Arabidopsis thaliana: one gene and its partner. The protein of the gene in region 1 purifies or fractionates together with the protein of each later gene. This does not show direct contact. Each region holds a gene or a part of one and is shown on either strand. Other genes may lie near its edges. The genes, in order: AT1G76550 and ALATS.

The links.
Region 2: the proteins of AT1G76550 (region 1) and ALATS fractionate together in Arabidopsis thaliana (co-fractionation; one large-scale study listed by BioGRID). This does not show direct contact.

What each region holds. Positions count from the first base shown.
Region 1 is NC_003070.9:28,721,855-28,729,433, forward strand, and holds AT1G76550 (Phosphofructokinase family protein), read right to left. Parts: upstream 5,258-7,579; 5' UTR 5,076-5,257; coding exon 4,986-5,075; intron 4,534-4,985; coding exon 4,361-4,533; intron 4,272-4,360; coding exon 4,159-4,271; intron 4,022-4,158; coding exon 3,947-4,021; intron 3,859-3,946; coding exon 3,745-3,858; intron 3,625-3,744; coding exon 3,557-3,624; intron 3,439-3,556; coding exon 3,355-3,438; intron 3,215-3,354; coding exon 3,161-3,214; intron 2,975-3,160; coding exon 2,894-2,974; intron 2,805-2,893; coding exon 2,711-2,804; intron 2,620-2,710; coding exon 2,546-2,619; intron 2,435-2,545; coding exon 2,324-2,434; intron 2,230-2,323; coding exon 2,185-2,229; intron 2,108-2,184; coding exon 2,051-2,107; intron 1,941-2,050; coding exon 1,836-1,940; intron 1,756-1,835; coding exon 1,639-1,755; intron 1,528-1,638; coding exon 1,424-1,527; intron 1,341-1,423; coding exon 1,046-1,340; 3' UTR 803-1,045; downstream 1-802. Other genes in the region: CDKB2;1 (cyclin-dependent kinase B2;1), read right to left, coding at 271-497; CP12-3 (CP12 domain-containing protein 3), read left to right, coding at 6,431-6,835; AT1G76570 (Chlorophyll A-B binding family protein), read left to right, coding at 7,278-7,421, 7,505-7,579. UniProt on the Arabidopsis thaliana protein: Regulatory subunit of pyrophosphate--fructose 6-phosphate 1-phosphotransferase.
Region 2 is NC_003070.9:18,592,062-18,600,474, forward strand, and holds the start of ALATS (Alanyl-tRNA synthetase), read right to left. Parts: upstream 6,419-8,413; 5' UTR 6,251-6,418; coding exon 5,956-6,250; intron 5,691-5,955; coding exon 5,452-5,690; intron 5,147-5,451; coding exon 5,006-5,146; intron 4,654-5,005; coding exon 4,507-4,653; intron 4,300-4,506; coding exon 4,147-4,299; intron 3,757-4,146; coding exon 3,627-3,756; intron 3,376-3,626; coding exon 3,279-3,375; intron 3,121-3,278; coding exon 3,000-3,120; intron 2,685-2,999; coding exon 2,625-2,684; intron 2,527-2,624; coding exon 2,476-2,526; intron 2,407-2,475; coding exon 2,311-2,406; intron 2,186-2,310; coding exon 2,084-2,185; intron 1,938-2,083; coding exon 1,815-1,937; intron 1,443-1,814; coding exon 1,299-1,442; intron 1,212-1,298; coding exon 1,140-1,211; intron 1,050-1,139; coding exon 974-1,049; intron 893-973; coding exon 750-892; intron 666-749; coding exon 557-665; intron 470-556; coding exon 282-469; intron 183-281; and 2 more.

The DNA of each region.
Region 1 (7,579 bases):
TCCGTATATAATTGATTTTGCAATCACTGGAAAACTAACTGATACAGCGATCCAGATCAAACTCTAGGGAAACATCTATCAACAGTTTCTCAGAGCCAAATCATCTAACAATTAGTAGACTCTTCGAACTGATTACTACGATTTGAAATTGAGATCTATCTAATCTGGAAAACAAGCGAGATAGTGAGAAATCGACTATATAAACCCTAACGCGACTACAAGATCGAGAATATGGGGGCAATTTTATCGAATCAGAGGTAAAACCCTAACCTGACGACGTGAGGATCACGAGCGAGCATTCGCAAAATGGAGATCTCGCGGAGAGTGGTGGAAGGAACGCCTTCTTCGTCCTCATGGAGACGCGTCTTCTTTAGAGCGACGATTTTCCCGGTAGCTTTCTCTCTGGCTCTGTAAACTTTCCCGTATGTCCCTTCACCAACTTTCTCAAGCTTCTCGAAAGCATCCATGGCGGAAACTGCTATAACTCCCTCGTCCATCGCTCTCTAAAATTCTTCTTCTCCGGCGCTCTCTCTCTCTCAGTTGGTTCTTATTGGGAAAGTGAATTGTCGGAGATCAAAGTGTAGATAGGTTATATAATTAAATGAGACCTGAAATTATAGAATCCTTATTCTTGGGCTTTCACAACGGACTGATTTTTCGAAATTCAAACTGGAGCGTGGAGGAGCGGTCTTTTCATAAACGCCTTTTTTTAATTTGCCACGTACTATAGTATTTAATTTTAATTTTTACATTTATTCATTTGTGTCCACTTGTCATATATATCCGTAGGTACTTTGATTTGGTCGCACCATATACAAATTATGATCGAGAAGGCAACAAGAAGATTAGTGAACCCAAACACAGACTTCTTCATTAAAAAAGCATTACTCAAATCCTTTAACTTTGAATATCCTTTTCCTAAACTCAACTTTGAACAATAAAGTTTGCGTAAATCAGAAGACGACTTCAAAATGGAAAGAGAGAGAGAGAGAGAGAGCTAATGAAGTTTATGGTTAAAGGGAAAACCAAAACAATAAAAAAATCTTTAAGCAAATTGCTGACCGCTGGTGGAAGAAGATGAGATCGTAGTGAGAACATCAGTCACCGAGGCCATAACACTCAATGCCGCTTTCAAAACATCTTGAGAGCAACCCGGTTTCACAATCGTCCTCACCTGATCAAGATACTCCTGCAGCTTCTTGATTTTCCCCATGTAATCCTGGTCTTCTACACACAGACTTACCGCCTTTGCATCTGCACCTGGACCATCATACTGGACTGGTCCTGGGTTTCGGTACATATCTTCCATCAAGAATTTCTGCGCGTTTTGTCTCAATAGACTGCAAAATCATTTGACAAATTATATCACTTGATTTCATGTTCATTCTAATCTTTGTCTAATGAGTGAGGAACAAAAGCTTACTCGTATGCTTTTCCTTTCAAGTCAACTGAAGCTGGATGAATTACAGGTCTACCAATCGTAGTAGAACCAGAATTTTGGGACCAACGCTTAACCGTCATCATTGCCTAAGGTTAAACAGAGAAAGAGATTGGGGTCAGTAAAACTGAAACTTGAAGTCAGAAATCAACACATATACTAAACAACTTTAGCCTTATAAATAAGAGACAAAACTCAACTGAGATAGGCGCAGCCCCGCATTTCCATTTGTTTACAGGACTCTTCAGGTTAGTCACTGTCGCCATGTAACCATTCAAACCAGCTGCGAGGATGTGGTAACATACATGTCCAAGAACCTGCATCAAAGTTATAATCAATGGTGTGAATGTCCATAATATTGAAGTTGCAATAGCATTTTAGTTTGGCGATCACATACATAGGCGTAGTCACAATCGAATTTTGATGGAAGAGATCCACGAGCTTGGTAACCAAAAAAGTGACAGATAGCGTTGAATTTCTTCCCTTTGTAGGTTCCTTCTTTCTGTCATTTTCAAAACTTAGTTTTAGGGACAACTTGAATATTCAGGCAAGGTTATTCAAAAAAATTTGAAAAAAATGGATTGTGACAAGTGAAAAAGATGTGCAACATACCAAGCGCTTGTTCATTTCAGTCTCCACAAGATAAGCCAGAAGTTTCTCCGTCTCAATCTAAGAAGAAAGTAAATGAGCAATTAGAATTCCAACTTTTTATAGCACAGTAACTCCATCATTTTCTTTCTTCTTACCTGGGATAGCTGAGCAGAATCATCAGACTCGGGATGGAGAAGTAGCTGCAGAAACAAAGAAGACAATTTATCATAAGAACACATACTCGTTTACATGTGAGAAAAAACAAAGAAAAGTACCATGTCAAAGAATTAGAACCTGTTTCTTAATGAATGGAGGCAAAAACTCAAACAAAGCAGATGACCAAGATGACAACTGAGTAGAAATATTATCAACCTGCACACCCTCCTTAAGCAATCCATGAATTTCCTGCATCGCACAACAACATGTAAATGCTTACTATGTTTTGGAACTCAAGAAACAATAAAAAATAGCACATTAAATGATAAATAGAAATGTTTGCCAGTATTGAATCGTTACCTTCAACAGAGCATAGAGTTCAGGAATACTCTCAACAAGCCCTTCAGGAATTAGGATGACTCCATGATTTTTGTCTGATACAAATAGACAGTTTATCAATAAAGTTAGGGAACAAGCAAAAGACATCACTTCCAACATACCAAAAGCTCGTTTTAGTTATCAGACCTTGTTCGGCTCTTGCTTGAACAGCATCACAGATTTGTTTTATGATGTCAAATATTGTGAGCTTAGATGCTGTAACCTCCTCACCCAGTATCACCTGAGACAATCGCATCAAATGCAAATGAGAAACTAGATGCAGCATTGCCAAGACTATCGATTGAATATATTCAGAATTTGGAAGAATACCATGTTGGGGTGAGACTGAAGTGTACACTCAAGGGCAACATGTGAATGCTTCCGACCCATGAGACGGACAAAGTAATAATACTGGCAATACGGAGGAAAGTATGTTATTGAGAAGAAAATTTGATAACAGAATCATAAGGAACCCAACTTCGCAATTATCAAACCATAATAAATTTCACATTATTAACCAACAAAATATAGGTTGGTTATGAGTGTCCTAGCAATCTTTCTAAAACATGATAACGTTTGGAAGGAATCAACATTTACCTTCTCTGCTGAAAGGGCATCGGTGCAGATATTGCTAATGAGCTGAGAATTCACCTGTACACAGTAGAATGATATTAGTCTAAATAACGAGTTAAAATGTTATTAACCTGAAAAGAACGGTGAGCGAAATGAAAGAATGTTGGCTACAATACCTACAAAGTAAAAGAAAAAAAAGCGCTAGATTTCAAAGTTACCTTGCATGTAGTATCGAAACCAACATTTGCTTCCACAAACTGATTCTTAAGATCTCCATTAATAGTGACCGGAACACCAACTACCTGAAACATATTGGTAATTTCTGCTGTTAGCGATATCAGGTGAAGTGCAAATGTCACTAAAGTGATTCATGATACAAGATCAGACAAAGAAAGAGAAAAACTGGGAAGAAATTAGGACCTTTGTTGAGCATTTTGCTTCAGCAAAAAATTCAGCAAGATGAGCGGCATCTGTGTTTGATGTTACACCTAACAAATAAAAACATTGATTTAGAAAATTCTGGGATGAACTTAAAAAATCATATTTACACAAGTTAAGAACAAAACATCTACTAAAACAGACACCCGAAAAAGAGGAAAAGTAGGTACCTCCAATGATAACTAGGCTATCCAATTTCAAATCCGTGCATGCTTTTAGTGCAGCATTGACCTGTTCGGTTGTTCTAATCTGATCCTTGGTTCTTCCAAGCATATCATAGCCACCTAATACGACATACATTTAAATGCCATATGTCAGAAAGCAGCAGAGATAAAGTTCTGAATAATCTTAATCAAACCACCAACCACCAACCTTGGTTTTTGTAAGTTTGGAGGACCTCATCAGTGATCTCCAGGGTCTTCTGGGCAAAGAGACCTTCAGAACCACCTGTTACAGGTAGCCAAAGTTTCATATTAATGACCAGGCACACATCAATACGGAAGTAAGATGTGACTTTATAGTAAGCAAACAATGAAGTTACAGAAATAAGAAAACCAACTAACAGATAAAAAACAGGGACTTACCCAAAAATCCAAGCAAAGTGTTCTTCGCGTTGTGCACTTTGAGAGCCTCGTATAGACCCCAAACTACATTGTGCCCACCAGGAGCCTGCCTTCCACAGAACACAATTCCGACCCTACAATAGAAAACAACTAGCTCTAACCAACAACAAAACCACAGAACAAGAAATTCCAGAGATCTATAAATATGCAGATGCATGCACACCTCTTCACTGGATGTTCAGTAATGATCTGAGCATCAGCAACTTTAGCAGTTGCCCTGAGGAAATGAGCCAAAGGCTGGCCTAGAGTATGTGGGAAGGCACGGGCAATGATATGAGCATCACCAGCCTTTGCCACAGTGGTTCCATCACCAAGTTCAACACGGACAGTAGTCCCCTGTAATGTACATTGAATCAATAACGAATTAAACTACGAATCATCCAACCAAAAAAAAAACTACGATTCAATCACTGTTCCAGAAAATCACTCCATCATGGTAGTTCACGTTGAAAGGCAATTCTACCTACCACACTAAACTGAAATGTTAAATCAGACGAGTAAGTATAAAAGGATCATAAACCCTAGATCCCGATTATAATAACAGTGTAAACAGATCTGCATGAACGGAAACAACATTGCAAGTTCCTCGAGTAGACAATCAAAATAAACAGCTCGAAGGGATTCAAAATATTCGCGACGTGACGAAATTGTGAGAAAACGAAACAGCAGAAGAGATGATATCAATGAAAAACATAGAGATCCAAACATTGGAGACAGTGAACGAGAGAAGGAAGCAAGAGATCTAAGGAAGATACGAATATACAAATAAAAGGAAGAAGGAGAAGTACCTGGAGACAAGGAGGAAGCTCAGGGTGGTACTGAGATCGGAGTTGTTGAAGAGGAGAGAGTTCTCTGGGGATTCCGAAATCTGAATCCATGGGCGATAACTTTTTAGGTTTTTGTGAGAAATTAGGTTGGTGAGAGTGTCAGAGAGACTCAGAGAAGATTCAGAGAAAGTTTTTTCCTTTGGCCCGTCAAAAGTATTTATATAGTATGCGGGGGACTTGGGCGATACGATCAACCAAACAGCCAAAATTTGGTCTTCTTCTTTTTTTTCTTTCAGTCCACGCTTTTTCTCGATCAGCCCTTGTTATTCTGGTTATTTACGAAAATGCCATTGGATATAAATATATACCCTTACCTTTTTCGGTTTGGTAATGTTTGGTTAGTGACCAAATTGTCTAATTCGGTTTGGTGTTCATATTTTATGGGTTTTAAAAGGTTTTAGACTGCAAATTTATCGAACTGTATGAGTGTACGTTTGGTTTTAAGTTTAGTTTATAAATGCGGTTAGGTTTTGGTTTAGTTTGAGTTGACAAATTCCCCACCTAAGTGCGACCAAACTTTCAAACTAAGAAAAAATAAAAGCAAAAAATAGGATATGATGATATGCTAAAAGGGAGAGTGAATGAGCACCAAAGGATAGGTGAAGGGTAAATACGGAAATAGCGAGAGAAAAAAAAAGAAGATGGAAATATTGGGGAATATAGCATTCAATAGGGAGATATGCTTTTACATGGTAATTACAAAGGAATAAAGGCAAACATATAGTAAAAGATACGACTCTCTCATTCCCTCTTCCCCAAGTATTATTATTGCCTGATAATTGATAAACTACCCATCGAAAATAAATATTTATTATGCACATGGATCTTTAAAAAAATGGATTTGTTTATTATTTGACCTGATTTGGGCTTTTAATAAGGCTTCTTATTTACTCTGTTGACCGTAGGAAAGGCCTGTCATTATTTAAAGATCTACCAACTGAATTTCATCAGTCAGTATCGATGGGATTAGGTATATTAATGGTAATTGTTATTTTCATAATATAGGCCTAGTGTGATAAGACCTCAAAAACAATAAGCTTTGATATTACGATGAGAGTAGGAGTATATAATAAAAGCATAAGATTATGATGATACAAAGGACATCAAAGTTGGTGAACACCTAGAACAACAAAAGGAGTAGGTAAAAGGGGTCAGCTTTGCATTGTGCTTATCTCAACTACCTTATGAGAAGAAAATAATATTTTTTTCTAAAGTCAAATGTTTGATGAGTGTAGTTTGGATAATGCCGCATTAAAAAAAAAAACGTGAAATGACAATCGAACATTGATGATTGGAGGGCTTATTTGTAATTACGATAACTATAGTCAAACGGCCCAAACCATTAATAATAAAAGGTGAATAAAGAATTTTCTGAAAGACGAAGAAGAGAAACGAAATTCGTAGAAATGATCTCGGGCTCGGCGACGGCGAGTCATGGGAGAGTGTTGCTTCCGTCACAAAGGGAGCGACGGCCCGTCTCAACTGGATCAAATATTTTACGTTTCAGAGAAACAGTACCGAGACAATTCAGCCTGATGATGGTGACGAAGGCGACGGCAAAGTATATGGGGACGAAGATGAGGGAGGAGAAACTATCGGAGATGATAGAGGAGAAAGTGAAGGAAGCGACAGAGGTTTGCGAGGCGGAAGAGATGTCGGAGGAGTGTAGAGTTGCGTGGGACGAAGTTGAAGAAGTGAGTCAAGCCAGAGCAGATCTGAGGATCAAGCTGAAGTTACTGAATCAGGATCCGCTCGAGAGTTTCTGCCAGGAGAATCCAGAGACCGACGAGTGTCGAATCTACGAAGACTAAAATTTGAGTTTTCGTGTTTTTAATGATTGTAGCTAATCTCAAAACAGAGGACTTAGAACAGAGACTGATTCTGATTAATAAATCTCAATCGTCCATTGAAACCGTTGTTCATCGTGTTCACTTACACCGATTGATTTGGAATGAAACTCTGCATTTTGGATCTTTTGCTTTGGAACAAAACGGTTGTTTTGATTGTTTATGGATCTAACGATGTGGCCTGTTACTTAATTGGGCCTATAATCTGGATCCGCCGAGTCCGGGCTTTTTAAAGAACTGGCGAATATCATTACACGTGGCCAGATCCATAACTTTGAAAATTTGGTTATTTTTAATTTTTGTGGAAAATTAGAGACCGCTTCTTGCTCTTCTAACTTCACCTCTGCTTTCTTCTTCTCGAGTGAAACAGACAGCCAAATCAAGATTTGACGGTGAGCCAAATTCCATGGCACTGTTTCAGGAGAAGCTTTCATCACTTTCCTCAAGTTATTCGTCAATTCATTCTCTTCCGAGGATTCTCGTGTCCAAGCCTCGTAATAGAATTGCCGTGACAAAGTCCCGTTCGATTTGCAGAGCTTCGTGGCAAGAGGTTTTTGTTGAATTTATCTTCTTACTAGAAATCATCATTTTGTTTTCTCCTCGTTCTTTTTGAAACTTTGCTGTTGTTTTTAGCTCGCCGGAGTGTTGGTTTTCTCGGCGATTCCATTCACTGCGGTTAAAGCAATTGCAAATAGCTCAATAGGAGTT
Region 2 (8,413 bases), about 10 Mb from region 1:
ACAATAATTGCCACTTCAGAATTGCTTTGATTACAAAATTACAGGGAAATCTAGACAAAGCTGCTGACTGTAAGGCTGAAAGAGCTTATAACCTGAAGCGAAGCAATCTTAGTCCTAATATCTGCCTTTTTAGCTGCTGGGATAATTGCTGCATCTACTCGGCTTTTCAAAGCAGAAACTTTCTGTGAATGTGCAAATACAAACACAATAAGTTTTACGTGAATCCAAGTAACGACATCGTCTTCATTTTGTCAATAGTTTGACAAAGAGAGGGAGAAAACCTTTTCCAATGCACTTCCCTCCGCTCTGGAGGCATCCTCTACTTCTCTTTCAAGTAAGGACGCCGCATTCAATGCATCAAAAGCACATTCAGTAGTCACAGCAGTTACCCTACGAATACCTTTAGCAATTCCCTCCTCCGATAGAAGAGCAAATGCTTTGGCTTCGCGGGTGTTTGTTATGTGGGTTCCTGGAATTGTCAAAATAACCCTATACTCAACATTCTATTCAGAACGTAATATCTTGGTCCCAATAGCTAATGCCAATGGAAACAGACCTCCACAAAACTCGGAAGAAAGCAATGACCATTCATTGTTTTCAGGATCAGCCAAGAGATCCTCAACCTTCCTCCCAATTGACACCACTCTGACGGGATCGGGGTAGACCTAAAAAGAGTAAGAGAGAACGCTTTAACAATTCTTAGAAACCAAACTAAAAAGGTATAGCTACAGAACTGATGGACAGCTTACTTCTCCAAACACTGCTCTTAGACCTTTGATGCGCTTGGCTTCAGAAAGCACAGCTTCCTTGGAAAACACATCTAATTCATCCTTGATCTGTTTATTCACTATGGATTCGATCCTTCTCAAATCTTCAGGATCAACCGGCTTGCCTACTCGAAATTATGGAACCCATCAGACAATTAAGATGACCATCCACATCAAAATAAAAATGACTTTATTCAAAAATGTACCATGAGAAAAATCAAATCGCAGTTTTTCAGGAAGAACAATTGATCCCTTCTGATCAATATGATCCCCGAGCACTTCCTGAATTCATGGGACATGAATATTTTCAGATCCAATAGAAAAAATTAGAAAATCACAGTTTAGGTTACTTAAATTATAGAAAAGGGATACCTTCAGGGCATAATTCAACATATGTGTGCAAGTATGATTAGGAGCGATGAGTTTACGCCTCTCATAGTCAACCTATACGCATGAAAACGAAGGTGGAAACAAATTGGATAGTACCAAATATGGTGAATGAGACAAACACTGTTTGATGCAGAGAGTTACCTTGCAAATCACTTTATCACCCACAGATACCTCTCCAGTTTCTTTAGAGAGATAACCAATGTGAAGAACAAAGCCCCCAAATATTTGTACATTGCATACATTGAATGTCCCAAACGAGCCTTCTATAAGTCCAGTGTCAAAAATCTATTGCCAGAGAAAAAATGTTAGAGGCACAGAGTTTATATACATATAGATGATTGGAAGTGAATCAAAAGCTTAACCTTGTTCATGGATATGAAATCTAAAAATATTTATGTGACTGTCAACGACAACTTCAGAAATTAGTATGCAAAACCAACAATAACTATATCATGGTATTTGCCAGCCGATACATAAATTCAAACAATGCAGTTCTGATATGATTGTGTTCATGGTGTTACTGCCATGTCTACATTTGTATATATATACAAATCCAAGATGAACATACTGAAGACTGCAATTTCATGCCACCAGTCATATGATCAGAAATGAAAAACAATTAGCAAACTAAAATACATATCAAATAAAATGGATTACCTGACCACCCTGCTCAGCATAGAAGCTTGTAGACCCCAATACTAGTCCCACGTTATCACTAGCAGCTGAACTTTCTAGGAAAGTAGAGCCAGTATAGATTGCCTTTAGTTCACTCTCGTGGTCCTGCAGCGATATGTGGCAGAGTACCAATAAAGGTTTCTTTAAAGCAAAATCCATTTACTATTATATGCCCTAACTTCTTCATTTCTACGCCAACATAAGAACATTTCAGGTGCAACATGCAAGTTTTCTGGAATAAAAGGACAAACCTGGAACCAAATGTATTTAAAAGAATCATCTGTTGCTGAAACACCAGCCTTGTGCAATGTTGATGTAGCATCAGCATCCATAACAATGGCACCACCAGCTTGCTATAAAAAAATGACATTAAAAGATTGGTTAATAGATGATGTGATTGCAAACTTCGTTCATAGTCACACGTAAGTTTGGCATTAAACGCTCTTTAAGAAAGTAAACAAGAGGAAAGTTGAAACACCTTATTCTGGGCACTTCTCGATCTTTCCCTCGCCTCTTCCATGGCTTTGTTGAAACCATCAACATCAACCAGTAACCCTCTTTCTTCAGCCATCAACTGAACCCCGAGAATAAAAGTTAGAAAATAACACGAACATTCAGAAATAAGTATAAATGACTTACGTACCTGAGTTAAATCTAACGGGAAACCATATGTATCCCATAAGATAAAAGCATCCTGCAAAGAGAAGACAACATGTTGAGATAGAATTCAAACATCCCAGATGAAAATACTGCAACGCCTAACATACATCACAAAAATGATTCGATACGTACATCTCCACTCAGTGTATTCCCCTGAACCGCCTGTCCAGCTTTCCGAAATTTCTCAATTCCCTGCCGTGAAAATTTATAATCAGTCTAACTGTTCTTATACTCACCACCTATTCACATAAAAAAGGGAGGAACGACCAGGTAAAGCCAATTCATCTTTCAGAAAAAAGATTCCCTATAGAAAATACTATAATTATGTCTAACCATCATTAAAACTGAACAATGATGAAATTGGAAACAATCTATACAGAAATATCACATGCCACTGATTGAAGCTGTGAACTGTCTCTTTTACTTCAGTGCGACGAGCCAGAAGAACCCAAAACAAAATAAGATAAGAGGTTCAAAGCTTTGACGGAAATTAAATCCAGCCCTTACCTTTGCCAAGGTCTTGCAAAAGCTTGCTTCCTCTTCTTTAATTATATCTGTGATCTTTTTCTCATGTTCCTTCAACTCTGTAAAGACATCGCCCATCACCCGAATGACAGAACTTACAAGCCTACAGGTAATATGAAAGCCCGAGATAAAACATGTGTCAAAAAAATATGCTCATTTATAAAGATACAAGACAGAAATAAACGTTCCAGCTACAACGAAACAATATTTGAAACAATATTCAAACAAAACATGCAACGAAAATCAAACATAATTTCCTACCCGTTGAAAAATCCTTCTTCAGCTTTTAGGATCTCCTTTCCATAGCGAACCGCTCGACGAAGAATACGCCGCAGAACATACTCACGGCCCTCATTACCTGCAAGAGATAGTATATTAATTGGTACTTGTTAGACTACAAGAAATAACAAACCTCTATTTGTATAACATAACAGATTGTCTGAGGAAGAAAATTGACAAACTCATCATGCCCAACTTAGAATAAATGAACCAAAAACACTTTTTCTGAGAACATATAAGTATGAACTCAAATAAATGATTGAATACTAAGACGATTGTATTTTCTGTAACCACCACAATTGTGATTGAGACAAGAAACCAAGTATATACCAGGACGAGAGCCATCCGCAATTGCAAATGATAGGGTTCTAATATGATCAGCAACCACTCTATATGCCATGTCAACTCTGTCAACATCTTCCGGACCAACTTTTCCAGAATATGGCCTAGCTCCCGTTGCCTAAAAAAGTGAAAGCATCAACACCTAAACTTAAGATTCGCAACAACTAGGGTAAACAGAGCAATTTGAAGATTTTTTCAATCCTCTCACTAAGAAAAATACATGAAAAGTGACACAGCTAACAACGAATAATCTCCAGGATACCCATAGTAGAATGCCTTTATCATGAAATCCAAATTCAATAAACCAGAAATATTCAAAAACAATTGACGGAGTCTCGACGTAAAGCATAGAACCCATGATCCACTTCAAAATTGATGAACTAAAATGATGATAGTACTAATTAAGGTGACAAATGCGTCCCTAAGAGGAGGCCAAACAAAAATAACTCAATGAAACCATCATTAAACAGCTGTCATGAAACCATCAACAGAAGTTTTCACAAATTACCTTTTGGATGTCATCAAAGATAGGCATGAACACATCTGTATCATAGTTGCTCATTTTGTTTTGAAGAACAGAAGTCAACCTCTCGAAGCCCATCCCGGTATCAACATGCTTAGCAGGCAGAGGTTTTAGCGAGCCATCACTTTCTCGGTTGAACTATTTTGAAGACATAAGTAACATCCCAGTCAGAGGAAACAATTGGGAATATGATAGCACAGCTAAAGGAGCAATAACAATCTAGCTAACTGCACAATATAGAGTTTTCAGTAACACAATCTACAAAATCATTAAAACAATTGTGATATTGAGATAAAGATTAGTAAAATGGAACTAAATAACAATTGGGACAGAGAGGGTTTGTACCTGAATAAAGACAAGATTCCATATTTCTAAACATGTTGGATCGTCATTGTTAACTAAGGATGCAGCATCACGGTTACCAATGCGATCATAATGTATTTCAGTACAAGGTCCACACGGACCTGTGTCGCCCATTTCCCAGAAATTGTCCTGCAGTTTAATCAAAAGTTAAATGAAAGAAAAACAGCATTTAAAAACCCTTAAGTTTTACATTTTGTACAAGATTTTGACTGTAAATCATAAACAATGGTTTTTAAAGCCTGCCAACTACCAAACATGATAGCGTATTCCTAGCCAAAATGCATTCAAGCTTACAGTTGGTTGTCGTTAGCATTGACAAACAGATGTGTCAATATATACAAGAAACAATGGTGACAATACAAAGGCAACTTAGCTGAAGTACTTGTGAAGTAACCTCAGGAGAGAGGAAATCAATGAGTAGTGGATTCAAAAAAATTAGGTAACAGATTAAAAGTTATTATCTTAAATAATCAATACATACTTTGCAACCAAATGGCAGCACACGTCCAGATGGAAGAACCTTCAACCATATATCCCTAGCCTCATTATCAGGTTGAAGGCCAGCTTTCTCATCACCGCCAAAATATGTAGCGTAGATTCGATCAGTCGGTAGCCCATAGACCTGAGGCATGAAAACAGGGAGGTATCAACCTCAATGAAATAAACAACCTCAACGAAAAGAGAATAGTAACTTTACAAAATTATGAAATACTGTCACAAGGTATCTAACTGAAATGTACAACCAAATGAAAAGAGAAGAATCACTTTACAAAACTGAAATGTACAACCAAATGAAAAGAGAAGAATCACTTAACAAAATTGAGACATACCGTCCCAAGGGAGGGAGACAATAGTTTACTGAATAATACCATGTATATTTTTCTTAAATCAAGTAAACAGAGACAAATTTCCCAGGTATTTAATTACCTTGGTTAAGAGCTCCCAAGCCCATTCGATAGCTTCCTTCTTGAAATAATCTCCAAAGGACCAGTTACCAAGCATTTCAAAGAAGGTGTGATGGTACGTATCTTTGCCGACATCATCCAAATCATTATGCTTTCCACCAGCACGAATACACTTTTGGGTGTTACATGCCCGAGATAGCTTGCTAAGCTCAGTATTTGGATCGGCCGTACCCAAAAATATTGGCTTATACTGGTTCATTCCTTGAAAAACAGAGAAGTTTCAATGTCATTAATAATTCTATTTTTCGCCAGACATATCAAGAGAACTTAATTTACATAGCTCAGTATCAATATCAGAAAATTTCGACCAAAACTGAAATTGAGAAATTTGAATAAGTCCCAAAGCTTCAAAGACAAAAGAAGACAGAATAAGTCAACTCTATAGAATCTGAATTCCATAGATCAACTTGGACAAATTCCCAATCTTATCGGCAAAAACAGATATGAGGAATCGAAGTTATCGTACCAGCGTTAGCGAAGAGAAGAGTAGGATCATTATGAGGAACAACGGGGCTTGATGGCCAGAACTTGTGGCCTTTGCCTCTGAAGAAATCGACATAAGTATCCCGGACTCTCTTTGCTGGCCACTGAGTCTCCGATGGTTCGGAACCCGGCATGACTGCGACGGAGGAAGACGTCGACGAAGAGGAAGAAAAACGGAAGTGAGAGAAAAAAGGGCGGCGGAGATGGGAAGAGTAAAAAACCCTAGACGGAGGTTTGGTTGAAGAAATCAGAAGAGAAGCTGCCTTCACTAATCTCATTCAAACCAATAAAAGACCTTCTCTCTCTCCTCCTATCCTATTTTCTACCGTTAAAATTTATTTAATCCGATTCCTTTTCCGCAAGATATATTATTTTAAGGGATAATACTTAAAAAATAAAAAAAGTAAAATTTGGAAAATACATTTTGTTCATCAAAGGATAACATTAAAAAAAAAACGAGAGTAAATTTTGGTTCTCGTTTAGATAAACTGTTGGGTTTGCTGCCACTAGCCGTGAGACTGCCTCGCATGTTATTGTTTGTTTCGTTGTTGTTGTTGCTGTTGTCGTTGCCGCAAGTTTTGAATTTGTTTTGCTGCTACTGTTGCAAATTTTTGTATTCGTTTCTCAGATAATACTATAGTTTTACACGTAATTTTTTTTTTTCCAATCAACCAAATGTAATTCTAATATATTTTTGTTACTTGAATTTTTTTCATATTTGAGTTTTTCTCTTTTTATTATGTGGATTGATATGATCTATATATAAAAATTATTCTTATTCTTGTTAAATATTAATCTAAATACTATTTTTATAGTATAAAAAATGAATGATATTATTTTGATGTAAACTACCTAAAATTTTATAACAATAATGAGTTTTTACGCTATTGATCAAATTGGGTTGGATGGATTTCTGTTACATATTGGTTACAGTTATTAAAAGGGAAAAATGTTATTTAATACCTCAACTTTCAAATTATGACAGTTTTATACGTTAACTTTATATATGGTCATTTTAAACATGAAGTTATCGTTGATCACCATTTAAACCATGAATATTTTATTGACCAGGCCAAAAAAATTAGTCGTTAACGGATTATTCAACTCCCGTTAACACCTCCATTAACCATTCTAAACGACGTCGTTTTCGTTTTTCTTTAAAAAGAAATGACAGACCTGGGATTCGAACCCCTATCATTTGAGAAAAATCAAAGGTCATTTGACCACTCTACCTGCAAAGATTTCTCTGTCATTCTATACAAACACAGATACTTATATACGCTTAAAGTTCTTCTTCTTCATCTTTAACGAAACAAAACATTTCCATAGTAAAGCTTCCATTGAAGAACACCTCCGATTTTGAACACTTCGATTTCTCCATGGACTTCTACCATTTAATACAAGCCTCATCAAGCACCCCTATTCATTGAAGAACACCTCCAAACCTTTTTTTCCCGCCAAAAAAAAAAAAATCCCGCCAAAAATAAATTTCCCGCCAAAATTTTTTCTCGTAAATTTTGTTTCCCAGCAAAAAAAATGCTTTTAAAAATCCTTGTAAATTTTTTAAAAACTCTTTTAAAAAACCTTGTAAAGTTTTTTAAAATCTTTGGTAATTGCTAAAAACCCTTGTAAATCATTTTAAAACCTCTTAAAATCTTTATAAAGTCTTTAAAAACATAGGTAAATACTTTAAAACCCCTTTTTAAACCTTTGTAAATCATTTTAAAACTTTTTACAATAGTTTTACAAGATTTACAATCGTTTTTTAAGCATAAGTAAGTGGCATTGAATGATTTACAAGGGATTTTGAAAACTTATAAAAGGGTAAAACATGATTTACAATCGTTTTAAAGCATAAGTAAGTGGCATAAAATGATTTACAAGGGATTTAAAAAAGGTTAGCATGGTTTACAATCGTTTTTTAAGCATAAGTAAGTGGCATTGAATGATTTACAAGGGATTTTAAAAGCTTATAAAAGGGTAAAACATGATTTACAATCGTTTTTAAAGCATAAGTAAGTGGCATTGAATGATTTACAAGGGATTTTAAAAGCTTATAAAAGGGTAAAACATGATTTACAATCGTTTTTAAAGCATAAGTAAGTGGCATTGAATGATTTACAAGGGATTTTAAAAGCTTATAAAAAGGTAAAACATGATTTATCATCGTTTTTAAAGCATAAGTAAGTGGCATAAAATGATTTACAAGGATTTTTAAAAAGGGCTAGCATGGTTTACAATGTTTTTTTAAGCATAAGTAAGTGGCATTGGAATGATTTACAAGGGATTTTAAAAGCTTATAAAAGGGTAAAACATGATTTATAGTAACGAAAACGACATCGTTTAGAATGGTTAACGGAGGTGTTAACGGGAGTTGAATAATCCGTTAACGACTATTTTTTTTGGCCTGGTCAACGAAATATTCATGGTTTAAATGGTGG